4 linked regions of the Anolis sagrei genome follow. The main gene of each other region encodes a partner of the protein of the gene in region 2 in a complex. Links are inferred from orthologs where the notes say so. Each region holds a gene or a part of one and is shown on either strand. Other genes may lie near its edges.

Region 1 (7,025 bases), on a different chromosome or scaffold from region 2:
CAAATTATTTTATGCAGAGAAATTCATCTCTACAGCATCAAGCTACAGCTGCAAATGCTCTTTTTTAAATGTGCTAAGTGGAATACATTGAGATGACAGATAAATGCCTATGATTGGCTGCAAATCTGTTTAAAAAGCTGCTTTAAAAAGAAAGCTTTGCAGAATAAATATCAGAAGGAAGCCTAATGTAAAAAGGCAGTTTTCAGTTTGGGAGAAAAATATGGAGGGGAACTAGGGAAGGGGGAAGTTTGCGCAAATTCACAGAATATACCTTCTTCCTTTGTGGCTTCATTCCCAAGGCCATGTGAAAGAGAGTTAGGCAAGCGAGCTCATTTACTGAAAGAGGGCTCTGCAAATCTCAGTGTTTCCAGTGTGACAGATTTGTCACACTGATAGGTCTCGGGATAAAAGAACCACAACTCTTCAGGCCTGCCTCTTCTTCCTACAGATTTTTTTTTAAGCCCATGCATGTGCACAACACGGAAAATGAGAATCAGTGACTTTCTCTGTGTTGCTGTGAGTTTTCCAGGCTGTATGGCCATATTCCAGAAGCATTCCCTCCTGATGTTTTGCTTATATCTATGGCAGACATTGTCAGAGGTTGTGAGGTCTCTTTGAAATTAGGCAAGTGGGGTTAATATATCTGTGGAATAATGTCCAGGGTGGGAGAAAGAACTCTTATCTGCTTGAGATAAGTGTGAATGTTGCAATTGGCCACCTTGATTAGTGTAGTGTTGAAGGATTTCATGACTGGGTTGTTGTGACTTTTCCAGGCTGTAGGGCCATGTTCCAGAAGCATTCTCTCCTGATGTTTCACCTGCACCTATGGCAGGCATCCTCAGAGGTAGTGAGGTCTGTTCAATTTATTGCTGAAGGCTTTCATGGCCAGAATCACTGGGTTGTTGTGACTTTTCCAAGCTGTGGGGCCAAGTTCCAGAAGCACTCTCTCCTGACGTTTCACCTACATCTACAGCAGGGGTCCCCAAACTAAGGCCCAGGGGCCAGATACGGCTCTCCAAGGTCATTTAGCCAGCCCTTGCTCAGGGTCAACCTAATTCTGAACCAACTTAAAAGCACACAACAACAACAACAACAACAATCCTATCTCATCAGCCAAAAGCAGGCCCACACTTCCCATTGAAATACTAATAAGTTTATATTTGTTAAAATTGTTATTCATTTTTATTATTGTATTGCTTTTAAGTGTTTTTTGCACTACAGATAAGATGTGTGCGTAGGAATTCATTCATGTTTTTTTTTATTTCAAATTATATTCTGGCCCTCCAAGAGTTTGAGGGACTGTGTCCTGGCCCTCTGTTTAAAAAGTCTGAGGACCCCTGATCTAAAGCAAACAGCCTCAGAGGTTGTGAGGCCTGTCAAATGTATTCTCGAAGGTTTTCATAGACAGAATCGCTGCATTGTTGTGACTTTTCCAAGCTGCTGGGCCATGTTCCAGAAGCATTCTCTCCTGATGTTTCGCCTTCATCTACAGCAGGTATCTTCAGAGGTTGTGAGGTCCTGCATGGGCATACAGTCTGGAAAATTCACAACATTCAACCTTGATTAGCACTGAATTGTCATGTAGCTTCAAAGCCTGGCTGGTTTCTGCTTGGGGGAATTCTTTTTTGGGGGGTGGGGGAGGTGTTAGCTGCCCTGATTGATTCTTGTCTGGAATTTCCCTGCTTTTTTAGTGTTGCTCTTTCTCTGTGTTTTGAACACACTGTGCTTAGTGGGAATTTGGGACCACCTCCACCACAATCCTGCCAAGGGTCCTAAATGCCAAGGGACAAAGTCATACAGAGCACATTAGCAACATCAAAGGCAAGAAGAAAGAGCCACAATGTGGGGATCCCAACCCCCTGGGCAGTACATAACTGAGGCAAAGAAATCCAAGGGCGGGTGACTCAATGGGAGGTGGGGAATGTTTAGCAGATGAGTTCGCCTCTCTTGTCAAAAGCTCCAGGGAAACACAGGGTTTCAGGGACCTCAAGCTATTTCCAAAGCCAAGGCTTTAAAAGGCTCCTGGGTGCTGAAAGAAGAGTATGAAACAGAGCTGAATAGACAGTGCATGCCGACAATTGTGTGAGTGTGTGATGAGCGACTTCAGAAAACTGCAAGTCGCTTCTGCTGTGAGAGAATTGGCCGTCTACACCACGCCCGCATGTTTTGATGTTTTACCCTCCTTGTGGGAGGCTTCTCTTACGTCCACGCATGGGGAACTGGAGCTGACAGGGGGAGCTCATCCACACTCTCGGTCTTCAGTCCCGAGGGCACACTGTTTAACCCACAGTGCCAAAGGGGGCTCCAAACGACACCCATGACATAGATTCATTGCGCGCCCTGTACCCCAGCAAAGTCTCCTCATTAAAGGAATCAATCAATCAATCAATCAATCAACCTGCATCCTCGTCATGAGAGGCCGATCTCCCTCCCTCACTTACTTGCTGGCGGGCGCTGCAACGCCGGGCTCCTCAACTCCGTCCGAACCGCCTCTGGAAACTTATTTCCCTGAATTATTTCCAAGCCGAGTCAAGGGAGCGAAGCCGGGGCAGGAGGCGCCACCTTCTCGCCTCCCAGCGCGGCGTCCATGGCTCCAAAGCGGGTCTGGGAGGGGTGTGGGGGGAGGAGGGAATGGGTGGGTGCGTGGGGGGCTGCCAAGGGACTCCAAGAGACAGAGAAACAAACGGGGAGAGAGAAGCGGCGGCTTTACTTCGCGGCGTCCATCCGAAAACGGAAGAGGAAAGACGGATGGGGGGGGGGGGTGAGACAGCGAGGCTCAGCCTCTTAGCGGGAGGAGGACCGCGAAAAAGAGGGGCCGCGGCTCCCCACGCTGGCGACGTAGTCCGGAGGCGTCGTGCTCCATGGCTGCGGGCTTCGAGCTGGATCCAACGCCAAGGAGAGGCTGGGTCTCTCCCGCCTCGCCTCTTCCCACTGAGCGCGCCTCCTTCCTTCCTTCCTTCCTCCTCTCCCTCTCAATCTCTCCCTCTGCTGCCTCCTCCTCCCCCGGCAGCAGCAAGAGGAGGGGGCGCAGACGCGCGTGGCTTTGGCACGCCTGAGTCTCTGCAGGTGGAGCCGCCGCTCGGCGAAAGGAAACGCGGGGAAGCGCTTTGGGGGAAAGGGATGAGGACTCTTAGCCGTCCGCGAGGGAGAGCTTCAGCGGGAGGCCGGAAGTTTCCCGGGTCTGGAAGGCAAGCCCTCTGAGAAGCGCCTCAGTGTGAGTTCAGCTTCGAGAACAGAAGGCTGAGAGAAAGGGAGAGGAGAGCCATGTTTACATATGACACATAGAGGACGGGGCAAGCTTGCTTTCTGCCGCTCTGGAGACTAGGACACGGAGCAATGGATTCAGACAAGTGTCTCAGTGAGCTCTGTAGGTTCAGCTTCGAGAAAAGAAGGCTGAGAGAAAGGGATAGGAGAGCCATGTTTACATATCTCACATGGAGGAGGGGGCAAGCTTGGTTTCTGCTGCTCTGGATTCAAAGGGTAGGCAACTTCTTGAGGGTAAGAACTTGAGGGTAAGAAGAATATGCTGCCTAGCCTACCCAGAGTGTGGTGGAGTCTCCTTCTCTGGAGGTTTTTAAGCAGAGGATGGATGGGCATCTGTCCGGAGCGTTTTAGTAGTGTGTCTTTTGGGGTCTATTCCAACTTTTATGTTTCTACTAGAGAATGAATCCACTTTAAATCCGGTTTCTGCCTTCTGCAAAATTCTGGGTTTTATAGTTTGGTTTAATTTACACACACACACACACACACACACACACACCCCGCGTGGCACACTGGGTTAAACCGCTGAGCTGCTAAATTTGCTCCTACGGGAAGATAACGACGCTCCATGTAGTCATGCCGGCCTCGTGACCTTGGCAGTGTCTACAGACAACGCCGACTCTTCGGCTTAGAAATGGAGATGAGCACCAACCCCGAGAGTCAGACACGACTGGACTTAATGTCAGGGGAAAACCTTTACCTGAAACTGTTAAAGGTTTCTCCTCGGAATTCTGCAGGCGGCAGTAACCGGATTTAAAGTGGATCCCTTCTCTAGTGGGATGAGGCCCTAGGGCGCCACTGGCAAGCACCCAGTCCAGAGCTGGGTGCTTGCCGACCAGCTCAGGGTTTCGGAGGAAGGAACTGGGGGGAAAAAAACTCCCGAGGCTCCCTGACCGAGAGAGATTCGCCACAAATCCAAGCGGGTGACTTGGAATGAAAGCAGACCTCCGGCAGTCAACGCGGCTTGGAAGAGCTTCCCCGTCGCCCTCCCCGCTGCGCTTGCTTTGCCCGTTGGAAGAAGCGTCCGGCTGCAAGGAGATCTGCAGGGAATCAAAAGCAGAAGCGACACAGAAAGCGAGCCCTGGCCAGCCCCAGAATTGCTCAGCTCACGAAGGGGAAGAAGCAGACTCGGAGCAAAGCCAATTCAGGACTTTGGCGTCTTTCAGAAGTCATGTGTTGCTCCAAGTTGGGTTCTCTTCCTGCAGTTCGAGGGATTTTTTGGGGGGGTGGGGGGCATCCGAGGGACGTGGGGTCCCTAGTACTTAGGTATTTCTTGGCTTCCAACGAGGAAGGGGAGGAGGAGGAGGAGGGAACCGGACTTTAACAGGGACTTCACAACATCGCTGGAGAAAAGATCCTACATAAACCCCATTTTCCTAGTTTCCAACAGACCTCACTACCTCTGAGGATGCCTGCCATAGATGCAGGCGAAACGTCAAGAGATAATGCTTCTGGAACATGGCCATACAGCCCGGAAAACTCACAACAACACAGATCCTACATTTCTGACTCCCAACAGCCCCTATTCTCTCCCCTTTCCCAGAGTACATCCGAGCCCTCCCGAAGATCCTTTGGTCATGATTTGGACCCCAATTCCTGATTTGGGACATTCTCACCGAATCAGCTTGTCCAGCGAATAGTGGGTGACAGCGAGGATCAAATCCCATCCCAGGAGGAAAGGAGGAGTATACATTCAATAAAGTACTGAAATGCAATGCCACCCCGGCTCATCACCCCAGCCCTTTTCCAGATTTCAAGCCAAAGGGAACATTGGAAGCCCTCGAGCAAGGGAAAAGTGTGTTGTCGAAAGCTTTCGTGGCTGGAATCAGTGGGTTGCTGTGAGTACGAGCTGTATGGCTATGTTCCGGAAGCATAGGAAACGTGTTTGATCACTGAGCCTGCAGGATGAAGTGCTGAACTTAAAGCCAAGACAGTTCTCAGTGGTCCATGAGCGAGAAGCACAAACAAGAATCACTACAACACAACAGTGTTTTCTTGCATGGCGGGGGTCGGACTAAGTGGCCCTTGTGGTCTCTTCCAACGCTATAATTCTGATCTTTAAAGAGAAGCACTCCCACTACAAGGACCTTGGACCATCCTTGCTTCTCCTCTTCCACTCTCCTGCTGATGCTGATGACAACATCATCCCTGCGCATTCAGAAGAAGACCTTCAAGCCACTCTAAATACCTTCACAGAAGCATATGAGAAGCTCGGTCTGTCATTGAACATTGAGAAAACCAAAGTGCTCTTCCAGCAGTCACCAGCCAATCCCTCTCCAATGCCAGAAATCCAGCTTAGTGGTGTAACATTAGAAAATGTTGATCATTTCTGCTACCTTGGCAGCCATCTCTCAACAAAAGTCAACATTGACACTGAAATACAACATCGCCTGAGCTCTGTGAGTGCAGCTTTTTTCTGAATGAAGCAGAGAGTGTTTGAGGACAGGGACATGGGACATCCGTAGGGTGATTGTTTATAAAGCTATTGTCCTCCCAACCATGCTAAAGGCCTGCGAGACGTGGACTGTCTACAGATGCCACATGCAACTCCTGGTGATTCCATCAGAGTTGCCTCCGGAAAATCCTGCAAATCTCTTGGGAAGACAAGAGGACAAATGTCAGAGTGTTGGAAGAAGCAAAGACCACCACCACTGAAGCGATGGTCGTCCGCCATCATCTCCGCTGGACAGGCCACATTGTCCGGATGCCCCACCATCTCCCAAAGCAGTTGCTCTATTCCAAACCCAAGAATGGAAAATGGAATGTTGGAGGGCAGGAAAAGAGATTTAAAGGTGGGCTCAAAGCCAACCTTAAAAACTCTGGCATAGACACTCTGGCCCTTGAGTGCTCTAGCTGGAGGTCAGCTGTGACCAGCAGTGCTGTAGAATTTGAAGAGGCACAAATGGAGGGTGAAAGAGACAAACGTGCCAAGAGGAAACCAATACTCTCACTGCGGGAGAAGATACAGATCAAGAATAGGGCTCCACAGTCACCTAAGGACCCACCAGTACACTGACCTTGAAAGACTATCCTACTCGGTCAACGAGGGATCACCTAACTGGGAACCAAACCCTGCTATATCTACCTGCTTAACAATGACTTCTGTGCCTCAAGCAGACAAGCGTTCTTTCCCCCACCCTGGACATCCCACAGATAGATAGACAAACCCCACTTACTTTGCTTCCAAGAGACCCCTCAACCTTAGAGGATGCCTGCCATAGATGTGGGCAAAACATCAGGAGAGAATGCTTCTGGAACATGGACATTCAGCCCGAAAAACTTACATCTGACATCTGTTTTATAGTAGGACTGGTGGATTTCTGTTAGCAGCATTTTGTTTTCCTTGGGCCCCAAAGTGAGAGAAAGATGGTGTGAAACTCAACCATTAAAAAAAACTTAAGGCCAGAACCAGCCTTCCCATTAAGCAGAACAAGTCCATGACACTGTCCTCTTCTGCAAGGCCTTCTTTGTCGCACATGCCCAGCATCCCATCACCCTTTTCTCTCCCCCTCCTTCATAGATTGTTACCTCCCTTCTTTGCAACTTTCTGTCTCCCACTATCACCATCCTTCCCTCCCTGCTCTATTCCAAGCAGTGCCACTTGCAACAAAGCCACTTCTCATGTTGTATGCAGAGCTGCCATTATTAGGAGCGGAAGAGTATCAGAAAAGTGGAAGAGAAGGGCTGATCCAGGATCTCTCTTCCCAGTCATCACATTTCTCCCCTATTTCCAAGTCACTGCTTCCTCATTTCTACTCCTTGCT
Region 2 (7,751 bases):
TTCCTTCCCTTCTTCCTACCTTCCCCCATTTTCTTCCTCTTCTGCTTTCTCTTTTCTTCTTTTTCTCTTTCCTTCTTTCCTTCCCTCCTTTTCTACATCTTCCCACCTTCCTTCGCTCCCTCTTTCTTTCCTTGTTTCCCTTTTTTCTTTCCGTCTCTCCTTCCTTCTCCTTTTTTCTTTCCTTTCTTTTCCTCCTTTTCTTCCTTTTTTTCTGTATTGTCATGTAGCTTTTCATCATTTAGCTTTTTGGGACTTTTGTTTTTTGGTGTTTTTATGAGTGAAGGACATACATTGGGTTGTTAATGTATTATGTCCAAATTTGGTGTCAATTTGTCCAGTGGTTTTTGAGTTCTGTGAATATCACAAACGAACATTACATTTTTATTTATATAGATGTGTTTGTGTGTGTTTAGCTGGAGTTACACTTAAGTGGCTGAGGGGGAAAAGGAAGGGGCCTGAGGCTGTTAGGAATGGTGGGAGTTGAAGTCCAAAACACTTGGAGGGCCAAAGCTGGCCCATGCCCGAGATATATATGTGTTTGTGTGTGTTTAGCTGGAGTTACACTTAAGTGGCTGAGGGGGAAAAGGAAGGGGCCTGAGGCTGTTAGGAATGGTGGGAGTTGAAGTCCAAAACCCTTGGAGGGCCAAAGTTGGCCCATGCATATGTATATGTGTGTGCATGTTTAGCTGGAGTTACACTTAAGTGACTGAGGGGAAAAAGAATGGGGTCTGAGGCTGTTAGGAATGGTGGGAGCTGAAGTCCAAAACACCTGAAGGGCTCAAGTTGGCCCATGCCTGATACATTTGTGTGTGTGTGTGTGTGTGTGTGTGTTTAGCTGGAGTTACACCTAAGTGGCTGAGGGGGGAAAGGAAGGGGCCTGAGGCTGTTAGGAATGGTGGGACTTGAAGTCCAAAACACTTGGAGGGCCAAAGTTGGCCCATGCACTATATATATATATATGTGTGTGTGTGTGTGTGTGTTTGTGTGTGTGTGTATGCGCGTGTGTTTAGCTGGAGTTACACCTAAGTGGCTGAGGGGGAAAAGAATGGGGTCTGAGGCTGTTAGGAATGGTGGGACTTGAAGTCCAAAACACTTGGAGGGCCAAAGTTGGCCCATGCACTATATATATATATGTGTGTGTGTGTGTGTGTGTTTGTGTGTGTGTGTATGCGCGTGTGTTTAGCTGGAGTTACACCTAAGTGGCTGAGGGGGAAAAGAATGGGGTCTGAGGCTGTTAGGAATGGGGGGACTTGAAGTCCAAAACACCTGAAGGGCTCAAGTTGGCCCATGCCCGATATATATATGTGTGTGTGTCTGTGTATGTAGCTGGAGTTACACTTAAGTGGCTGAGGGAGAAAAGAATGGGGTCTGAGACTGTTAGGAATGGTGGGAGTTGATGTCCAAAACACCTGAAGGGCTCAAGTTGGCCCATGCCTGATATATATATATGTGTGTGTGTGTGTGTATGTTTAGCTGGAGTTACACCTAAGTGGCAGAGGGGGGAAAGGAAGGGGCCTGAGGCTGTTAGGAATGGTGGGAGTTGAAGTCCAAACACTTGGAGGGCCAAAGTTGGCCCATGCCATATATATGTGTGTGTGTGTGCGTGTTTAGCTGGAGTTACACCTAAGTGGCTGAGGGGAAAAAGGAAGGTGTGTGTGTGTGTGCGCGTGTGTTTAGCTAGAGTTACACCTAAGTGGCTGAGGGGGAAAAGAATGGGGTTTGAGGCTGTTAGGAATGGTGGGAGTTGAAGTCCAAACACTTGGAGGGCCAAAGTTTGCCCTTGCCCAATATATATATATATATGTGTGTGTGTGTGTGTGTGTGTTCAGCTGGAGTTACACCTAAGTGGCTGAGGGGGAAAAGGAAGGGGCCTGAGGTTGTTAGGAATGGTGTGAGTTGAAGTCCAAAACACCAGAAGGGCTCATTGGCCCATGCCACACACATTGGCCCATGTGTGCGTGTGTGTTTAGCTGGAGTTACACTTAAGTGGCTGAGGGGGAAAAGAATGGGATCTGAGGCTGTTAGGAATGGTGGGACTTGAAGTCCAAAACACTTGGAGGGCCAAAGTTCGCCCATGCCCCTAAGTGGCTGAGGGGGAAAAGGAAGGGGGCTGAGGCTGTTAGGAATGGTGGGAGTTGAAGTCCAAAGTTGGCCCATGCCCGATATATATATATATATGTGTGCGTGTGTGTGTGTGTGTGTGTTTAGCTGGAGTTACACCTAAGTGGCTGAGGGGGAAAAGAATGGGGTCTGAGGCTGTTAGGAATGGTGGGACTTGAAGTCCAAAACACTTGGAGGGCCAAAGTTCGCCCATGCCCCTAAGTGGCTGAGGGGGAAAAGGAAGGGGGCTGAGGCTGTAAGGAATGGTGAGACTTGAAGTCCAAAACACCTGAAGGGTTAAAGTTGGCCCATGCCTGATATATATGTGTGCGCGCGTGTGTGTGTATGTTTAGCTGGAGTTACCCTTGAAGAAATGTACCTGTTCTGAATTACGTACATATGCAACTTAAGCACAACCCTTGTTTGTAACCTGGGGGCTCCTTGCCCCTCTCAATGAGCCAGGCAAGGCTTTCCAGTTGCTCAACTCTTTCCAAACCCAGGAAGGTAGGCAGGCAAGGAGGACGCCAGGGCTCTTACAGGGAAGGACACGATAGGGATCGATAGGGTCGATGCAGAGGGTCGGGTTACTCTAATGACGGTGGAGGGAGGGGGGATAGGAGAGGGAAGGGTCCGGCCTGGCGGGGCCTTGCTCCCGGGGGTCCGCGGCGCCCCCTCTTCCCTCCCTCCGTGCTTGCCTACCTCGGCCTCGTCCAGCTCCATGTCCACCAGCTCCATGTTCCCCTCCGGCCAGGGCTCGGCTCCCAGCTGCGCGAGCGGCATCGCGGCGGCCTCTTCCTCCGAGCGGGAGCCGCAATGCCTGCCTGTCTTCCCGCCGAAGCTGAGGGAGAGAACGAAGCTGCTCTCTTCTTCCCGCCAGACCGCAGCGTCTGTGCGGAACTCCTGCTGGAAGGAGGGGATAAGTCTGGGAAGCCACGCCCACCGTCCGCCCAGAGGCGGGGCCTAGAGACTCAGGCATGGGATGTCATGCCCACCGCCCGCCTACAGGCGGGGCCTAAGTCTGGGAAGCCACGCCCACCCTTTGTCAAGAGGCGGGGACTACAGACTCAAGCTTGGGAGGCCACGCTCACTGTCCTTCAAGAGGCGGGGCCTAGGGGCTCAAGGCTTGGAGGACACGCCCACCACCATCTCAAACCTGGAGCGCCACTCCCACAGTCCTTCAAGAGACTCAGGCTTAGGACGCTTCAAAAGGCTGTGGGCTTGGAGGACACGCCCACTATCCTTCAAGAAGCTCCGGCTTGGGAGGCCACGCTCACCATTCGCCTACAGGGGGAGCGCCACGCTCACATTCCTTCAAGAGGCGGGGCCTACAGCTTTGAGGACACGCCCACCGCCATTCCAGAGGCGGGTCCTAAGGCTGGAGCGCCAACCCACAGTCCTTCAAGAGGCGGGGCCTAATAGCTCAGGGCTGAGAGGCCACGCCCACTGCCCGCCCACAGGCGGGGCCTAGATTTGGAGCTACTTCCAGATTCCCGCCAAGAGGAGGCGCCCAGCCCAGGCAACCATGAGGCCAATGGGTTGTTGTAGGTTTTTCCGGGCTATATGGCCATGTTCTGGAGGCATTTTCTCCTGACGTTTCGCCTGCATCTATGGCAAGCATCCTCAGAGGTAGTGAGGTCTGTTGGAAGTAGGAAAAATGGGTTTATATATCTGTGGAATGACCAGGGTAATGTTTCAGCTGATCACCTTGATTTGCATTCAATGGCCTGGAAGCGCCTGGGGGGAATCTCTTGTTGAGAGTGAATTGATGTGCCTGATTGTTTACTCTCTGTTGTTTTGCTGTTGTAATTTTTGAGTTTTTTAATACTGGTAGCCAGATTTTGTTCATCTTCATGGTTTCCTCCTTTCTGTTGAAATTGTCCACATGCTTGTGGATTTCAGTGGCTTCTCTGTGTAGTCTGACATGGTGGTTGTTGGTGTGGTCCAGCATTTCTGTGTTCTCAAATAATATGCTGTGTCCAGGTTGCTTCATTGGGTGCTCTGCTATGGCTGATTTCTCTGGTTGAAGCAGTCTGCAGTGCCTTTCATGTTCCTTGATTCGTGTCTGGGCAATGCTGCGTTTGGTGGTCCCTATGTAGACTTGTCCACAGCTGCATGGTATAAGGTAGACTCCTGCAGAGGTGAGTGGATCCCTCTGTCCTTTGCTGAACGTAGCATTTGTTGGATTTTCTTGGTGGGTTTGTAGATTGTTTGTATGTTGTGTTTCCTCATCAGCTTCCCTATGCGGTCAGTGGTTCCCTTGATGTATGGCAGGAACACTTTTCCTCTGGGTGGATCTTCATCTTGACTCTCGTGGCTTGTTCTTGGTCTTGCAGCTCTTCTGATTTCTGAGGTGGAGTATCCATTGGCCTGTAGAGCCCAGTTGAGGTGGCTCAGTTCATCTTGGAGGCCAATGTTGGACTGCACCTTCCAGCATCCACCAGGAGAAGAAGCCTAAAGCTGCACTGCCACCCCCCTAAATCCCCCATAAGGAGGAGAAGGGGGACCCCAGGGTAAGGCTGCCACTGGCCCTGGGGTCGAATTGCCAGCTCCAGGAACTTCTCAGGAGCCCAAGGCTGAACTGCCACTCCCAGCAACCTCCAAGAGAGGGGTCTCCTGCAGGGTTCTGGGATTTGTAGTTTAGTCAAGCCTGGGGTTTCTGTGGCTGGGGATTTTTAAGGCTCCTCCCTCACCAGCAAATCCCAGGAGTCTGCAATAGGCAGCCTTGGGATTTAAAGTGGGGAGTCCACTCCTGAAAGCAGGGGTCCTCAAACGTTTTGAACCAAGGACCAAATCAGACTGCTGGGTTCCAGCTTGAAAAAATGGAATGAATTCCTCAGCACAGTGCACTTGTTTTGTAGTGCAATGCAAGAAAACCATGAAAGAACAATCTATCTTCTATCTATATATATATAAATGCTCTGTGCATAATGAGTACCTTAAAAATAAAAGAACCAATGAACAAAATCACACCAAATTTGACAACAAAATGTTTCACAATCCAAGGAGTGACCATCACTCAAACAATTATGATTTTGTCATTTGGGAGTTGTAGTTGCTGGGATTTACAGTTCACCTACAATCAAAGAGCATTCTGAACTCCATCAATGATGGAATTGAACCAAACATGGCACACAGAACTCCCTTGACCAACAGAAAGGGTTTGGTGGGCATTGACCTTTGGTGGCCATTGACCTTGAGTTTGGGAGTTAACCCACAATCAAAGAGCATTCTGAACTCCATAAACAATGGAATTGATCCAAACTTAGCATGCCGAACTTGTGTGACCAACAGCAAATACTGGAAGGGTTTGGTGGGCATTGGCCTTGGGTTTTGGAGTTGTAGTTCACCTGCATCCAAAGAGCACTGTGGACTCAAACAATGATGGATCTGGATCAAACTTGGTACAAGCACTCAATACACCCAAATATGAACACAGGTGGAGTTTGGGGTAAATAGACCTTGACATTTGGGAGTTGTAGTCACTGGGATTCAAAGTTCACATACAAAGAGCATTCTGAACCCCACAAACAACAGAATTGGGGCAAACTTCCCACACGGAACCCCCATGACCAACAGAAAATACTTAAGGCTATCCAATCCAACTCCCTTCATCAGGGCAACAAAACGTAATCAAAGCCCTCCAGACAAAGAGCCATCCAGCCATAGATATAGATGGATGGATAGATAGATAGATAGATAGATAGATAGATATGATTCACACACACACAGATATAGTATCATAGATTTCAAAGGGACCCTTAAAGAAGGACAATGATATATTGCATGTTCCAGGATGGGCAAACCAGACACTCTCCACATCAACACTGACAAAGAAACAGCAAGAAATATTGTTTACCCACAAGCATAAAGAAATTACATATATTAGAAACCACCACTTTCTCATTACTTTATTTTCCAGATCAACAGACTGGGTCACAGCAATGCATGGCAGGGGACAGCTGGATTTCAATGGCTTCTCCAACAACCAACATGTCAGACTACACAGAGAAGCCATTGAAATCCACAAGCATGTGGACAATTTCAACGAAAAGGAGGAAACCATGAAAATGAACAAAATTTAGCTACCAGTATTTAAAAAACTCTAAAATAAGAACAGCACAACAACAGAGAGGAAACAAACAAGGACATCTAATCACCTCTCAACAAAAGATTGCTCCAGGCACTGCCAAGCAATCAAATGCTAATCAAGGTGATCAGTTGAAACATTCACACCTAGCTCCAACAGACAAGAGTCCTTTCTCCCACCCTGGTCATTCCACAGATATATAAACCCTTTTTCCTAGTTCCAACAGACCTCACTACCTCTGAGGATGCTTGCCATAGAAGCAGGTGAAACGTCAGGAGAAAATGCCTTTAGAACATGGCCATATAGCCCGAAAAAAGCCTACAACAACCATAAAAAAGATGCAATACAGTTTTAGGGAGTTATAGCTACTACTGTTTCGTTCTCGATGATCTTGAACTTTGCCCAGTTCCAAACCTTCAGAAAGGGCTTTTAATAAAAAAGAAAAGGAAGAAATCATATATTTATTTCGGTGCTCTTGATGAACTATAAATTTTCCCAAGAGGGGCAGATTTACTGTGGCTCAATAACAGAGATCATCCTTGGAAAGAGTTCTGAGATCCCTGGTTTAACTGCTGGGAAATCAACAAACTAGAGGTCAAGTGTGTCAACTGCAAATAGAGGAAACAGTTTAAAACAAATCATTCCTTTTGAATTACTCCAAAGGCACAAGGCAGATAGTATATCTGTTGCCTAGTTGTCAAGGTCATTCTTGGTATTATGAAGAAGTTAATGGCCAGCGTCCACTGAGTTAATGGGACAGACACGTGCCTGCAAATGCACCCCAGAACAGCTTTGGGGAGAAGCACGAAACTGTTCTGTTCCATTTCCACCCCTTCATTAATCGCTTGGATTATCTCAAGCTTCAATCTCTAGCAAACTGGCACATTGACAATACACCTGACAACGATAATGGAGAATTCAAGCATTTGAAGCTCAGTTTGAATCACAAGTGAAATCCTGATGCACTTTGATTCAGCACAGTGCCAGAAAGACGAAGCAGGTAAACAGATCATAAAACACAGATGATTATGCAAACGTCTCCAACCTGGCACTCTTCCAGTGACGGTGGACTACCACTCCCATCATTTCACCCAGCAGGCCAAAGGCTGGATTAGTATGGATGTAGTGTGCTTAGTGGGTATTTCTCTTGCTTATTGTTACCAAAGTGAATAAGAAAGGTTTTCTTGGCAGAACTTAAAGCCTATTCATTCTATTGATTTACTGCATATGATCATAAAAGCAATGGCAGGATAAAAACATTTGAAATAGATATTACCGCTGCTGTTAATAAGTTACAACTGATGCCAATTTTCCAATGCTCTTGGGCCTCTAGGGTAAAACCTTGGCATTGCTCCAAGTGTTTTAAGTTGGGTTGGGTTGATTTGTCTATTCTGTTGTTTTGCTGTTTCTCAAATTGATTGTTTATTGTGATTTTGTTTGGTATTTTAATCATAATAGTATCTATTTTCCCATAGTTGTGACATACCACTTTGGTTATTTTTATTTATTTATCGTGTCATCAGCAGCCAGACATTTGTATTACATTTTTAACAAAAACAAGCAA
Region 3 (7,546 bases), on a different chromosome or scaffold from region 2:
TCCTGCATGCACATACAGAGAGGGAGCAGTTACACTGGGGAATAAATGCAGTTTGGCCTCACTTTAGCTAATAGCGTAATACTATGGAATCATCAGAGCTGAAGTTTTAGAATGTCTTTAGCCTTGGCTGTCAGAGATTGCTGGTGCCTCCTTTGACTACAACTCCCATGATGCCTCAACCATGGAAGTCAAAGTGATGCCAAACTGTATTAATTCTGGGAATTTTAAGTGGGAATTTTATAATACTTATATATTTAAGCCTATTTTAATGTCCGTATATTTGTATATCTTTAAAATGTTATGCTGATGCTTTTATGTTAAGCCACTTTGAGTCCTTTTTGGGGAGATAAATTATTTATTTATTTATTTCTATCCGCTTTTCTTCTGGTTCAGGACTCAAAGCGGTGAACAACATATAGAAAGCAAAAACATAACATACAATAAAAGTAGACAGCACCGTCATAAACACAGTCATATCTAATTAAAAAATTACAAAAACCGACATCAACGTAATTAGTGACTAACAAAAAACACAATTAAACATTCAAAAGATTAAAAACCCTATCTGGTATCAATTTATTTAGGCCATAGTCAGGTCCATTTTGTGGTATAAATAAATAATTCTACAATGTAGAGCAGGCGTGGGCAAACTTCAGCCCTCCAGGTGTTTTGGACTTCAACTCCCACAATTCTTAACAGTCTATTGGTTGTTAGAAATTGTGGGAGCTGAAGTTCAAAACACCTGGAGGGCTGAAGTTTGCCCATGCCTGGTGTAGAGGCACCCATGCAGGACTGAAAGAAAAGCTCATGGTGGGAAAGGGAAGCTCTGGAACAGGGAAAGAAAACTGAAGACTGCCTAATCTTTCTTAGCCTCCTTCAAACAAAGATGGAATGATAGATGATAGATAGATAGATTTAGATTAGATAGAGTAAATAGATAGATTACATCAGATAGGTTACATAGATAGATTTGATAGATTAGATCAGGCATGGGCAAACTTCAGCCCTCCAAATGTTTTGGACTTCAACTCCCACAATTCCTAACAGCCTTAGATAGATAGATAAGATAGATACACAGACAGATAGATAGATAGAGAGATAGATCAGCTAAACAGATTAGATAGACAGATTATAGATAGACAGATTAGATAGATCAGATAGACAGAGTAGATAGATATATTAGATAGATTATAGATAGATTAGATAGATTAGATAGATCAGATAGATAGATTAGATTGAAAGATAGATTAGATAAAACAGATTATAAATAGAATAGAATAGATAAATCAGATAGATAGATAGATTACATAAAAGATAGATTAGATAGACAGATTACAGATAAGATTACATAGATAGATCAGATGGAATGATAGATTAGATAGATAAACAAATTATAGATAGAATAGAATAGATAAATCAGATAGATAGATAGATAGATAGATAGATAGATAGATTAGATAAAAGATATATTTGCTAGACAGATTATAGATAGATTAGATAGATTGATCAGATATAGATCGATAGATAGATAGATTAGATAGATTTGATACATTAGATCAGGCATGGGCAAACTTCAGCCCTACAGATGTTTTGGACTTCAACTCCCACAATTCCTAACAGCCTTAGATAGATAGATAAGATAGATAGATCAGATAGATAGATAGATAGATAGATAGATTAGATAGACAGATTATAGACAGAGAGATTGGATAGATCAGATAGACAGATTAGTTGGATAGATTAGATAGGCAGGTTATAATTGATAGAAATTAGATAGATAGATAGATCAGGTAGATAGATTAGATAGACAGATTTTATTTATTTATCGTATCAGGAGCGAACCAAACAGTTGTACTGCATTAAAAACAAACAAACAAACAAAACGCAAAGTTTGCAGATAGACAGATGATAGATAGGTAGACAGATAGATCAGATAGATCAGATAGCTAGATATGGATGAACCAGTGCCAGGGAAGGGCAACCTGCACTCCAAGCAAAAAGTCAGTTTCCAAGAAGGCTAACTTTTCTTGACACAACTCTCTCCCCTCCCTCCTGCCAGATGGACCTTGAATGCAGGTCTCCTCGCAACAAGAGCAGCAGATGCTTCCATTCAGAAGGGGTTTTTCCTCTCGGTTCAGAAAGGAAAACCCAAGTCCTCATCCCTGAGCAATCCCTTCCTCTTCCTCCTCCTCCCTCTCTATAAGTTGGAGAAGCTTTCCTTCAAGCCCAAACCCGAGCAACCGAGGAGGGAAGGAGGTCTGGGCGGGCAAAGGCGGGCATGGATGCAGCTGGAAGTGCCCCAGCTCAAGGCGAGGAGTAGGGCACTGGCTTTGCTGAAGGCGCCTCTTCCGAAGGTTCCCCGGCCATGAGCCACGGCAGACACAAGCGTCCAGAAGAGCAGGGGAAAGGGGAGACCCAGAGGGAGAGGAAGCACCCGAGAGAGAGAGAGAGATTGGGAGAGAGAGAGAGAGAGAAGCTACTTGCCCAAGTGGGGACGAGGAGGCTGTCGGGCCGGTCCGGCGCTTGCCCCGGAGGAGGGGGAGGAGACGGCTTCCCCGCCACGTTCATGTCCTCCCATGCAGCTGGGTTAGAGTCCCTTCTGATCGGCGAACTCGGCTAGAGTCGGGCCAGGCATTGAAGCTCCCTCCCCGCCTCCCTTAGAAGTAACAAACGCAATGATTCCCTCCGAGAGAGAGAGAGAAGGAGAGCCAGGAATTAGGGCCGAGCAGGGCTCTCCAGCATCCTCTCCTGCCTCTGCTCCACGCGTGCCTCGCTCACTGAAGAGGAGGAGGAGGAAGAGGAGGAAGAGGGAACGCTAGGTGGGGATGGAAAGGAGGTTGGCAGGGTCCGTCCGCGCGCGAGGAGAGCGCGAGGGAGGCTGCGGACCTCCCTCTTGAACTTCTCCTCTTCCTCCTCCTCTTCCTCCTCCTCGCGCTTCCCTTGGGAGGATGCTGCTGCTTTCCCCCCTGTTTCTAGTCAGATCTGCTTTCTCGCGCGCTTTCTCGCGCTTCTCTCCTCGGGGGGCAGGGGGGTTAACATGTGGACGCTCTGAAGCAGGCATGGGCAAACTTCGGCCCTCCAGGTGCTTTGGACTCCAACTCCCACAATTCCTAACAGCCTATCGGCTGTTAGGAATTGTGGGAGTTGGAGTCCAAAGCACCTGGAGGGCCGAAGTTTGCCCATGCCTTCTCTGAAGGAAAGAGGGTCTACTATGTGAGGTGAAGACACACACACCACTTCGAGGGAGACACACACACACACACACACATTGTACATACACCCATTCACATTATTATTACTAAGACCTACAAGCCACTCTAAACACATTCACAGAAGCATAAGAGAAGCTTGGCCTGTCACTGAACATCAAGACAACCAAAGCGCTCTTCCAGCAGTCACCAGCCAATCCCTCTCCAATGCCAGAAATACAGTTTAATGGTGTAACATTAGAAAATGTTGACCATTTCCGCTACCTTGGCAGCCACCTCTCCACAAAAGTCAACATTGACACTGAAATACAACACCGCCTGAGCTCGGCGAGTACAGCTTTTTCTGAATGAAGCAGAGAATGTTTGAGGACCGGGACATCCCTAGAGAGACCAAGGTGCTTGTTTATAAAGCTGTTGTTTATGAGTACCTATAAAAACAAGGAAGAACCAGAGTCTTACTGGAAGATTAGTACTGGAAAATTTATCTTAACAAACATTAAGGGGAAATATTCGACAGGAAGAGGAGCCGCAATTAGAAATGAAGAAACAAATAAAGAGAAGGAAAAGAGAGGAACATCGGAAGGAAGATTGGGAAGTCAACATCCCACCCCCCCCCCTTCACATCACCCTTGTCCCTTCACAACCCTTAATCCACACACCCCTCTTTTTTTCTCCCTTCCCTCCCTCTTCTTTTTTCCCTCCCTCCCTCCCCTCACCTCCATATCCATACCCAACACTTCTCCCTATTATAAGGAAACTTCAATAATGAATTATTTTTTTAAAAAAAATAAAGCTATTGTCCTCCCAATCCTGCTACACGCTTGTGAAACTTGGACAGTCTATAAACGTCACATGCAACTCCTGGAATGATTCCATCAGTGCTGCCTCTGGAAAATCCTGCAAATATCTTGGGAAGACAAGTGGTCAAATGCCAGCATGCTGGAAGAAGCAAAGACCACCAGCATTGAAGCGATGACCCTCCACCATCAACTATGCTGGACCAGCCATGTTGTCCAGATGCCCGACCACCATCTATCAAAGCAGTTGCTCTACTCTAAACTCAAGAACAGAAAATGGAATGTTAGCAGGCAGGAAAAGAAATTTAAAGGTGGGCTCAAAGCCAATCTTAAAAACTCTGGCATAGACACTGAGAACTGGGAAGCCCTGGCCCTTGAGCGATCCAACTGGAGGTCAGCTGTGACCAGCAGTGCTGCAGAATTTGAAGAGGCATGAATGGAGGGCGAAAGAGAGACATGTGCCAAGAAGAAGGCACATCAAGCCAACCCTGACCAGGACCCCTTCTATCTGGAAACCAATGCCCTCACTGCCGGAGAACATGCAGATCAATAATAGGACTCCACAGTCACCTACAGACCCACCACCAGTACACTGATCTTGGAAGACTATCCTACTCAGACAACTAGGGATCACCTAAAAAAAAACATTATTATTTATTTAAGATACAAGTTTGGATACCCAGCGTTGCCCAGGTTATTTGAAAAAGTCTATTTTTAATTGTACAAAATGAATAAGGTTGTGTGTGAACTACAACTCATATCATGCTAGGTTAGCCCTGAAAAATTCCATCAGTACTTAAAGTTTGTTATGTTGGGCAAGTTTGTTCTAGACCTGTGGTTTTCAACCTGTGGATCCCTAGATCTTTTGTCCTTCAACTCCCAGAAATCCTAACAGCTGGTAAATTGGCTGGGATTTCTGGAAGTTGTAGGCCAAAACACCTGGGGACACACAGGTTGAGAACCACTGCTCTAGATACATCATTGGTGGGGTTCGTTGTGCTCTCTGGCTGTAGGGCAAACTATGGTAGTTATCCAGAAAGTAAGGTTACAAGTTGCAGGGGAAGTTGGTATCCCCGCCGTGTAGTGGGAAGCTAGCAGAAGCGAATGAGCAGTGCTAGTCGTCAGGGGCCTTAGGATCAAAGAAATGCGGTACACGCACATACACATATACATCTCATCCTATGGGTATTTGGGACTCCAACCCCCAGAAACCCTAGCCAGTTTATCCAATGACCAGGAATTCTGGGAGCTGAATCCCAAAACACTCGGAGGGCCACACGTTTTGTAGGCCTCATCTACATGCATATATACATGTGTATATATATTATAAACGTGTATACATTGGTGTGGGTACAAACTCTGACAGTTTGCCATTTAGAACCCTTCAGCATGGAGATTTGAAGAAGCCTCACAATTTCCCTCATCCTCAAATCACCTCTGTGGTGCACAAGCCCACACTGAAACACACCTGCATGATTTTCACAAAAAAAAAAAAACCCAACCAAAAAAAAACACATTGAAACATAACGAGGTCAGGCATGCTTTATCCAGAATTCTGAATTCAGAAATATTCTAAAATTGACAATTGTCCTCATGGGTGGCTAAAATAACAACATGTTTGCTTTCTTGTACACTGTACACAAACTTTGTTTCCTGCACAAAATAATTAAAACAAATTGGGCTTAAAACTACCTTCAGGCTAGGTGTATATAAGGTGTATATAAAACATAAATGAATTCCATGTTTAGACATGGGGCCCATCTCCAAGATATCTCATTATGTATATATATGCAAATGTAGGTATTCTAAAATCTGAAATCCTAAACATTTCTGGTCCTCAAGCAGTTCAGAGAAGGGATTCTATTACTTTCAGTGTGAAGCAATCTGGTCTTCATATTTTAGGAGGGCAAAACTACTTCAAAATGTAAAAACCTGTCATTCTTCGAGGCATCTTTCTTGCACAAAATTTCATCCCTTATAATTCCCTATTAGAAGGATGGATGGGGGAGAGGAGGTTGGGGAGATGCGAGGAACAGATTGGAAAATGACACTTGCTTGAAATTGCATTGTGGATGTGCTTTGAAAGTTTCAGTTAAAATAGTCCTAAGTAAAAGAAAGCTTAACTGTTTGAAGGAGAGATGGGCCATACATGGAATTAATTATTAAGAAGGATGAGTTTGTGCTTGACACTTGATGAATAAAAACCACCCTGTCAGATTGAACATCATAGATAGAGCGTTAGGATCATGTGTGTTTTGGGGGGCTGCCACTATTGGGAAGCTGTGGTCAAGACATCTGGAGGATGACTGTTGCCGTACCCCCCCCCCTTTCATATTGTATGTCATTAGCTGAAATGTAATAATTTTAGTGACTCCAGCCCATTCATTGAGTAAATATGTATATGTGTCCTTGTGAATTGGCCTTTATGTATCCTGCTATTGCTTCACAATAACTAATTGAAATCAAATACTGTATAGTGTGCCTCCTGTATCTACAAGGAATATGTTCCCAAACTTCATGTGGATATACAGAACTGTGGATAATAGTGAACCCTAATGAAAAAAAGGACTTTCAGCTGCAGGATACTATAGAGTCATGCTGGAGGAAATTAGAAAATGTCTAAAAAGGACATGGACATTTTGTTGGACATGGATAGATGAAACCATGGATATTGGTACAACAGATATTGGGGGGGGGGGGGGGGTTATACTGTAATTCAATTTCCCCTGCAAACTGCCACTAAAAATATATCAGAAGCCACTATTTTGAAAATCTGATTAATGTTATTTGCATAGGCATTATTCCCAAACCTGGCCACAGTTATGAATATTGAAGTACCATCCTGTTAATCAGAAGAAGGCAATGGTAAACCACTTGTTGCCTTTTTTTCATTAGGGTTTTCCTGCTTTGTGGCAAATTAATGCGTTTTTACGTGAGGTGTTGTTTGGATTCCCCACATAAAAATCCAGAATGGCACACATTTTCCACCCTGTATGGATGTGCCCAGAGTCTCATAAAGAAATGTGCAAATTTATTTGTCTACAGCCTAATTAACAACAAAGGAATACTTCTAAGTATTGGTCTAAACTGAACGGATAATTCTTCCTAGAGTAAACCCACTGAAATTTCCCCATTCTTGTTTTCTGTCAATTATTTGATTTTGTGCCAAACATACCAAATACTATTTAGTTTAATCAGAATCCTGTTGGGGAGTTATGAATGCATAACCTGGAGTTATGCATTCATAACAGTGTGGTATTCACTGCCTCTACATAAACGCTAAAGTGTTTGAGGACCGGGACATCCGTAGGGATACCAAGGTGCTTCTCTATAAAGCTATTGTCCTCCCAACCCTGCTATATGCCTGTGAGACATGGACAGTCTACAGACGTCACATGCAACTCCTGGAACGATTCCATCAGCGCTGCCTTCGGAAAATCCTGCAAATCTCCTGGGAAGACAAGCGGACAAACGTCAGTGTGCTGGAAGAAGCAAAGACCACCAGCATTGAAGTGATGGTCCTCCAACATCAACTCTGCT
Region 4 (6,976 bases), on a different chromosome or scaffold from region 2:
ACGGTCTGCATGGAAAGGCCCAAAATTGCCACCCAAGGCCCCATGGTGATTGAGGAAGACACCAGGAATGCAAAGCCACACAAACAAATAAAGGTGCAGCACTATTGTAGAATGTAAGCAGTTTGGCACCACTTGAATGCTCTGGAATCAGAGAAGCTGCAGTTTTGACAAGGTCTTCTGCCTTCTCTGCCCAAGAGTGCCAGTAACTGACTAAACTACAGCTCTCAGGACTCTTCAGAACTGAGCCATGGCAAGTAAAGTGGGGTCAGTGTGTTGTTGAAGGCTTTCATGGGTGGAATTACTGGTTGCTGTGTTTTCTTGGCTGCATGGCTGTGTTCCAGAAGCATTCTCTCCTGTCATTTTTGCCTGCATCTATGGCAGGCATCCTCAGATGTTGTGAGGTCTGTTAGAAACTAGGCAAGTGGGGTTTATATATCTGTGGAAAACTCACAGCAACCCAAAGTGGGGTCAAGCTGCATTTATCTTGAGAGACCCTCAAGAGAGGGAAGTGTGAATACTGCAGTGGAGCACCTTGATTAGCATAGAATAGCCTTGCAGATTCAAGGATTGGCTGCTTTCTGCCTGGGGGAATCCCAGGTCAATGGATACTCCACCACAGACATCAGAAGAGCTGCAAGACCAAGAACAAGGCATGAGAGTAAAGGTGAGCAAGGTGATCAATTGCAGCATTCACACTTCCCTCCAACAGTCACGAGTTCTTTCTCCCACCCTGAGCATTCCACAGATATATAAACCCCACTTGCATTGTTTCCAACAGGCCTCACACACTCTGAGGATGCCTGCCATAGATGCAGGTGAAATGTCAGGAGAGAATACTTCTGGAACATGGCCATACAGCCCGGAAAACTCACAGCAACCCAGTTATTCCAGCCATGAAAGCCTTCAACAACACATTGTTGAAGGCTTCAATAACACATTGACCCAACTTTACTTGCCTTGGCTCAGTTCTGTGGAATCCATACAGCCTCACAGCAACCCAAAGTGGGGTCAAGCTGCATTAATCTTGAGGGGTCCCATGAGAGACCCTCAAGAGAGAACTCAAGAGAAGGGACTGAACTCGAAAGAGAACTCATGAGAGGGAAGTGTGAATACTGCATCTGAGCACCTTAATTAACATAGATCAGCCTTGCAGCTTCAAGGCTTGGTTGCTTCCTGCCTGAGGGAATCCCAGTACAGTGGATCTCCCAACCTCTGATGATGCCTGCCATAGATGCAGGAGAAATGTCAGGAGAGAAGGCTTCTGGAACATCGCCACACAGCAACCCAAAGTGGGGGTCAAGCTGCATTCATCTTGAGGATGCCTGCCATAGATGCAGGCGAAACGTCAGCAGACAATGCTTCTGGAACAGGACCATACAGCCCGGAAAACTCACAGCAACCCAAAGCGGGGTCAAGCTGCATTCGTCTTAAGGGGTCCCACAAAAGACTCCAAAAAGAGAACTCAAGAGTAGGAAGGGTGAATCCTGCAATTCAGCACCTTGATTAGCATAGAATAGCCTTGCAGCTTCCTGCTTCCTGCCTGGGGGATCAATTGCAGCATTCACACTTGCCTCCAACAGTCAAGAGTTCTTTCTCCCGCCTCATGAGAGGAAAGTGTGAATCCTGCAATTGAGTGCCTTGATTATCATAGATCAGCCTTGCAGCTTCAAGGCTTGGCTGCTTCCTGCCTGGGGGATCAATTGCCGCATTCCCACTTGCCTCCAATAATCAAGAGTCCTTTCTCCCACCTCATGAGAGGAAAGTGTGAATCCTGCAATTGAGCACCTTGATTAGCATAGAATAGCCTTGCAGCTTTGAGGCTTGGCTGCTTCCTGCCTGGGGGAATCCCTGGTCAATGGACCTCCCAACCTCTGAGGATGCCTGCCATAGATGCAGGAGAAACGTCAGGAGAGAAGGCTTCTAGAACATGGCCACACAGCCCAGAAAACTCACAGCAACCCAAAGAGGGGTCAAGCTGCATTTGTCCCATGAGAGACCCTCAAGAGAGAACTCATGAGAGGGGAAGTGTGAATCCTGCAATTGAGCAACGTCAGGAGAGAATGCTTCTGGAAGATGGCCATACAACCCGGAAAACCCACATTAACTCAAAGTGCATCCGTCTTGAGGGTCCCACGAGAGAGGGGGGACTGCCGCCCAAGGAACCGCAGCGCCTGAGGCAAGCACAGGGAAAGAGCAACCTCGAGCCCCATCTACTCTGACATAGAGTTCAACACCGTCCGGACCCACACGGGATCATGTAACGCGGGCTGAGAGAGGGAGCCAAACGGGAGGGTGCCGGGTCGTGTACCTTGTCTGACGGCCTTGAGGAGGATGGGCTCCTTGCAGCTGCGGAGGAGGGCCAGGACGTCGTAGCGGGGCAGGCCGGAGACGGGCAGCCCTTGGACCTCGAGGAGGAGCTCCCCTTCGCCCAGCGGGGCTGCTTCTCCTCCTTCGCCTTCTCCTTCCCCGCCGGCTCCTTCCTCCTGGCCGTCGGGGCCGCCCACGTAGGCGAACTCGCCCTGCTCGGCGCCCCCCAGGACGGTGAAGCCCAGGCGGGCCCCTCGGCGCCGGATGGCCACTTGGTGCACCTTGGCCGCCCAGTGGTGCTTCCTCTGGAGCACTTTCGACATGGCCAGCGAGGCAGAGAGAGAGAAAGAGACCGAGAGAACGAGAGAGACGGGGGAGCCTTCCCGGGAGAACTTTCCCCTTCAAGCCATCACTGCGCAAACTTTGCCCGACGCCTCTCCGCAGCCTCCTCCAACAACATGCTGCTTTGGCTCCCCGCGGTCCCTTCCTTCTCCCCTCTTCTTCTTCCTCCTTTCCCGAACTGTAATCCTCGGCTCGCTTTTCCCACGCTCTTCTGGCCCCGACCTCTTCTTCTGGGCCACTTTGGCCACCTCTTCTTCTCTTTCCTGCCCGGCTCTTCTGGCCCCGACCCGCCGCGGCTCCTTTAAGCGCCGACAAAGCCGACTCTTGTTTTGTTACATTGCGCTCCTCGTCGAGACAAGAGGGGGGGGGGGGCAGGCGAGCGATAGGAAGCGGTGGCGCATGCGCACAAGGGCACTCCCCGCCTCCCTTCCCAGCCAGGCTCTTCCTCCTCCTCCTCCTCCTCTTCCCAGGCTTTTCCGCGCTCCCTTTTCATTCCTGGACAGGAATGAAGAAAAAAAACAAAACCTCTCAGACCAGGACAGTCAGTAAAGAACAACGCTCAGAACAAGAGGGGAATTCCAGACAGGAAACCAGCAATCAGGGCCAGCTAACACTTCCCAAATAATAATAATAAAACTTTATTTATACCCCGCCAACATCTCCCCAAGGGTAAGGTAAAGGTAAAGGTAGTCCCCTGGCATTATGTCCAGTCATGTCTGACTCTGGGGTGTGGTGCTCATCTCCATTTCTAAGCCGAAGAGCCGGCGTTGTCCGTAGACACCTCCAAGGTCATGTGGCCGGCATGACTGCATGGAGCGCCGTCCCCAAGGGTACAACAATGCAAATAAACAACATACAGCGACAATAAAATATAAAAATAAAATACAAAAAACAATATAAATAAGCACATCAAACAATTTAAAATCACAATAATTAAACACTGAAAATCAATCCCAATGGACAGGATCCAAATAAAGGATTCCCTCCGCCCAGGCAGGAAGCAGCCAGGCTTTGAAGCTGCAAGCCTATTTAATGCTAATCACGGTGGCCAATTGCAAAATTCAACTAAAACAGACAAGAGTTCTTTCTCCTAGGAAACAACTAACACCTCCCAACAATCAGGGCCAGCTAACAACTCCCAAACAAAGGATTCCCCCAGGCAGGCAGTAGCCAGGCTTTGAAGCCACAAGGCTATTCAATGCTAATCAAGGTGGCCAATTGCAACGTTGAACTAAAACAGACAAGAGTTCTGTGTTCCGGGAAACAACTAAACACCTCCCAAGAAAGGATTTTCCCAGGCAGGAAACAGCCAGGCTTTGAAGCTGCAAGGCTATTCAATGCTATTCAATGCTAATCAAGCTAGCCAATGGCAACATTCAACTAAAGCAGACAAGAGTTCTCTCTCCCAGGAAACAACTGAACACCTCCCAACAAAGGATTCTCCCAGGCAGGAAGCAGCCAGGCTTTGAAGCTGCAAGCCTATTTAATGCTAATCAAGGTGGCCAATTGCAACATTCAACTAAAACAGACAAGAGTTCTTTCTCCTAGGAAACAACTAACACTTCCCAACAATCAGGGCCAGCTAACACCTCCCAAACAAAGGATTCCCCTAGGCAGGCAGCAGCCAGGCTTTGGAGCTACAAGGCAACTCAATGCTAATCAAGCTGGCCAATTGCAACATTTAACCAAGGAAACAACACCTCACAACAAAGGATGCCCCCATGCAGGAAGCAGCCAGTCTTTGAAGCTGCAAGGCTATTCAATGCTAATCAAGGTGGCCAATTGCAACATTCAGCTAAAACAGACACGGGTGCTTTCTCCCAGAAAACAACTGTTTGGCAGTGGAAGAAGCTGCCTTGGAGCGTGGGGAAGTCTCCTTCTGTAGAGTTTTTAAACAGAGTAGAAGTATATGAAAATAAACATTGTTTCCTTACAATTTGATTTGTATCATTCCAAAAACTATTTTATTGTACAGCTCATTATTATTTATATTGGATATATATTTATTTTTATTGTTTATATTTATTTATATGTATATATTTCACGTGTGTGTGTGTAAACTAAAAACCTGGCTGTGGAACCAAGCTTTCAAAGAGTAGCACAGTGCAAGAGGCAGCCATGAAGTGACTGTAACACAATTGGAATGACTCCTGGATCATGACTTTGGATCTTGTGTTGTTTTAATAGTTTATTTTAGTGTATTGATTTGTCATAATTTTTAATGATTTTTTAAACTGATTTTCATGTATGGTATATGTTATTCTTATATGTTTTTGTTTGTTGTGGCATTGAATTATTATCAGCTTGGAAGCTGCTCGGAGTCTCCTTCGGGGTGAGATAGAGTGGGGTAAAAATACAGTAAATATATAAATTGGCACCAAAATATTTTCAGGACCTCCAAAGTTCACCCAACCCTAGTTACACCATAATGACTTCTTAAAAACTGTGCAGTATAAAGTTATAATTTGTTATAGAAATATTATCTTCAGTGAGGTATAGCCACAAAAGCATTTCACATGATCCCTGTTTACATTATCGTCTTGTCAATATCCCTACAAGGAAAAAACATCATGCTGATTTACTTTTTGAACTTTCTAATGCGCATGTGCTTAAGGCAGGGCTGTCATTATTACCCAATTACAATGACACTTGGAACTGCAGGGAGTTGTCTGCATGCACTGTTGTGTTTGCTGCTGCTGGGTTTTTTAATAGTTGCTGATTTTGTCAACTTTTGTGGCATTTTACCTATAATATTGTAGTGCAGTCTGATATGGGAGGAGGTCCATGAGAGTGACACTGTGTGTTATTACACAAAGTGACACCAACTCGAATGAGTTTATCCAGTTCAGGGGGGCATCTGCTTTGTGGCCTTTCTTCCAGGGCTGTTGCAAATCTATTTGGCATGAACAACCTGAAAAAAGTGGCTTTTAGGGGATTTTTAAAAAACCATACCCGCCTCAAAGTTGCTATGAATCTTACAGCAGGGTCAATGCAGGTTGGAAAAAAAGTGGTGCTGTACATATTGTTTTCATTAATATAGAAAATCCATTATAGGTACTACTAATAATAATAACAATAATAATAATAATGCACTTTATTTATATTCTACTTTATCTCCCTGAGGGGACTCGGAGTAGATTACAGTATCCACATATATAGGCAAACATTCAATGCTTTTTGTGATGGCATGCCCGAGCCTTTGGGAAAACTATATTGTCTGGCTTTACTTGGGGGCTATCTATATACCTTCGGTTAAGATTAAGACCCTTAGCAGACAGAGGCACTTTAGGTAAGGTGAAAAGATAACCAAATGTGTTTACTGAAACAAGATGAATAAAGGGTTAACTTCACCCGGGACTATCATAACAATACATTACAAAATGAGATTTTGCTGGCTGCAGTCAACTCTCTGGAATCTTTGAAAGTCTTTTGGCTCTGGTGTAAAGCACTGGATTATAAATTGTTGCTTGCAGTCTGTCTTAATCTTCTCTCCTGTGAAGTTTAGGCTGACCAAAAGCTTCTGTTGTCCTTTGGACTGCTGGTATAAAAATACTGCTAAATGCAGCAGGTGCTAAGAATGCCTGTTTTGATTGCTCAGGCCTAGGATACCAGACAATGTCCCAAGCCACTGTTCTCTGCTGCAGAAAAAAGGAGGAGTCCAGCAAAGGAGCTCTATACAGGAAATGGAATAGACCAACTAAGGCTGGTCACTAGGGGTTTTTATGCTCCACCCAAAAACTAATACAAAGGAAGTTAGAATATTGTGGTGGCCTATAAACAGAGGAAACTAAAGCAGAGGAGAGGAGAAGGCAGAGCCAAGACTGCACACCTTTTATATAGTAAGCAATGACATACAATACACAATCAAAGGCAAAAGTTTCCCTTTCCATCTCCAGCATCTGGAGGCAATGCTGGACTCTGGCCATGGGGAGATGCTCTTGTTCCATTTTCCATGTCAAGGAGCCTGTTGTCCGTAGACCATCCTGGTCAAGTTTGCTGGCATGGGTGTCTTTTACCTTCCTGCCAAGGTGGTATGTATTGATCTACTCACATTATGTGTTTTTGAACTGCTAGGTTAGCAGGAGCTAGCACGGCTTTGAACTGCCAACCTTTTGGTCAGCAAGTCTTTCTGCAGCTGCCGGCAGGCCCGTAGCCAGGATTTTGTTTCAGGGGGGGGGGGGGTTCAGTTTGGTTCGGGGGGGGGGCTGAGTCTGAGTGAAAGAGGGTCTACCCTAGCAAACCTTTTATATCATTACCCCAATACCCCCATGCATATGGGATATATTGAGCATGGTGATCAGATCATGATATGAATAAACCTAACAGT

The links.
Region 1: the proteins of RPS6KA1 (region 2) and SNTG1 are in contact, whole or in part, in a crystal structure (PDB 7PC8), measured with the Homo sapiens proteins. The link is inferred for Anolis sagrei from reciprocal best matches to the Homo sapiens genes RPS6KA1 and SNTG1. Residues at the interface, in NP_002944.2 of Homo sapiens: Arg728, Lys729, Leu730, Pro731, Thr733, Thr734, Leu735; in NP_001274742.1 of Homo sapiens: Gly67, Phe68, Gly69, Leu70, Ser71, Ile72, Lys73, Gly74, His78, Ile80, Ser85, His118, Glu119, Val122, Leu125, Arg126, Arg141.
Region 3: the proteins of RPS6KA1 (region 2) and SNTG2 are in contact, whole or in part, in a crystal structure (PDB 7QQL), measured with the Homo sapiens proteins. The link is inferred for Anolis sagrei from reciprocal best matches to the Homo sapiens genes RPS6KA1 and SNTG2. Residues at the interface, in NP_002944.2 of Homo sapiens: Pro731, Ser732, Thr733, Thr734, Leu735; in NP_061841.2 of Homo sapiens: Gly82, Gly83, Leu84, Gly85, Leu86, Ser87, Ile88, Lys89, Gly90, His94, Ser101, Lys102, Phe104, His134, Val138, Leu141, Arg142.
Region 4: the proteins of RPS6KA1 (region 2) and MAGI1 are in contact, whole or in part, in a crystal structure (PDB 5N7F), measured with the Homo sapiens proteins. The link is inferred for Anolis sagrei from reciprocal best matches to the Homo sapiens genes RPS6KA1 and MAGI1. Residues at the interface, in NP_002944.2 of Homo sapiens: Pro731, Ser732, Thr733, Thr734, Leu735; in NP_001028229.1 of Homo sapiens: Arg480, Gly481, Phe482, Gly483, Phe484, Thr485, Val486, Val487, Gly488, Asp490, Lys499, Ser500, His532, Val536, Phe539, Gln540.

What each region holds. Positions count from the first base shown.
Region 1 is NC_090024.1:52,402,675-52,409,699, forward strand, and holds the start of SNTG1 (gamma-1-syntrophin), read right to left. Parts: upstream 3,007-7,025; 5' UTR 2,442-3,006; intron 1-2,441. UniProt on the Homo sapiens protein: Adapter protein that binds to and probably organizes the subcellular localization of a variety of proteins. May link various receptors to the actin cytoskeleton and the dystrophin glycoprotein complex.
Region 2 is NC_090034.1:73,338,772-73,346,522, forward strand, and holds the start of RPS6KA1 (ribosomal protein S6 kinase alpha-1), read right to left. Parts: upstream 3,005-7,751; 5' UTR 2,881-3,004; coding exon 2,800-2,880; intron 1-2,799. UniProt on the Homo sapiens protein: Serine/threonine-protein kinase that acts downstream of ERK (MAPK1/ERK2 and MAPK3/ERK1) signaling and mediates mitogenic and stress-induced activation of the transcription factors CREB1, ETV1/ER81 and NR4A1/NUR77, regulates translation through RPS6 and EIF4B phosphorylation, and mediates cellular proliferation, survival, and differentiation by modulating mTOR signaling and repressing pro-apoptotic function of BAD and DAPK1.
Region 3 is NC_090021.1:120,627,271-120,634,816, forward strand, and holds the start of SNTG2 (gamma-2-syntrophin), read right to left. Parts: upstream 3,020-7,546; 5' UTR 2,569-3,019; coding exon 2,485-2,568; intron 1-2,484. UniProt on the Homo sapiens protein: Adapter protein that binds to and probably organizes the subcellular localization of a variety of proteins. May link various receptors to the actin cytoskeleton and the dystrophin glycoprotein complex.
Region 4 is NC_090022.1:35,422,852-35,429,827, forward strand, and holds the start of MAGI1 (membrane-associated guanylate kinase, WW and PDZ domain-containing protein 1), read right to left. Parts: upstream 3,006-6,976; 5' UTR 2,631-3,005; coding exon 2,309-2,630; intron 1-2,308. UniProt on the Homo sapiens protein: Plays a role in coupling actin fibers to cell junctions in endothelial cells, via its interaction with AMOTL2 and CDH5. May regulate acid-induced ASIC3 currents by modulating its expression at the cell surface.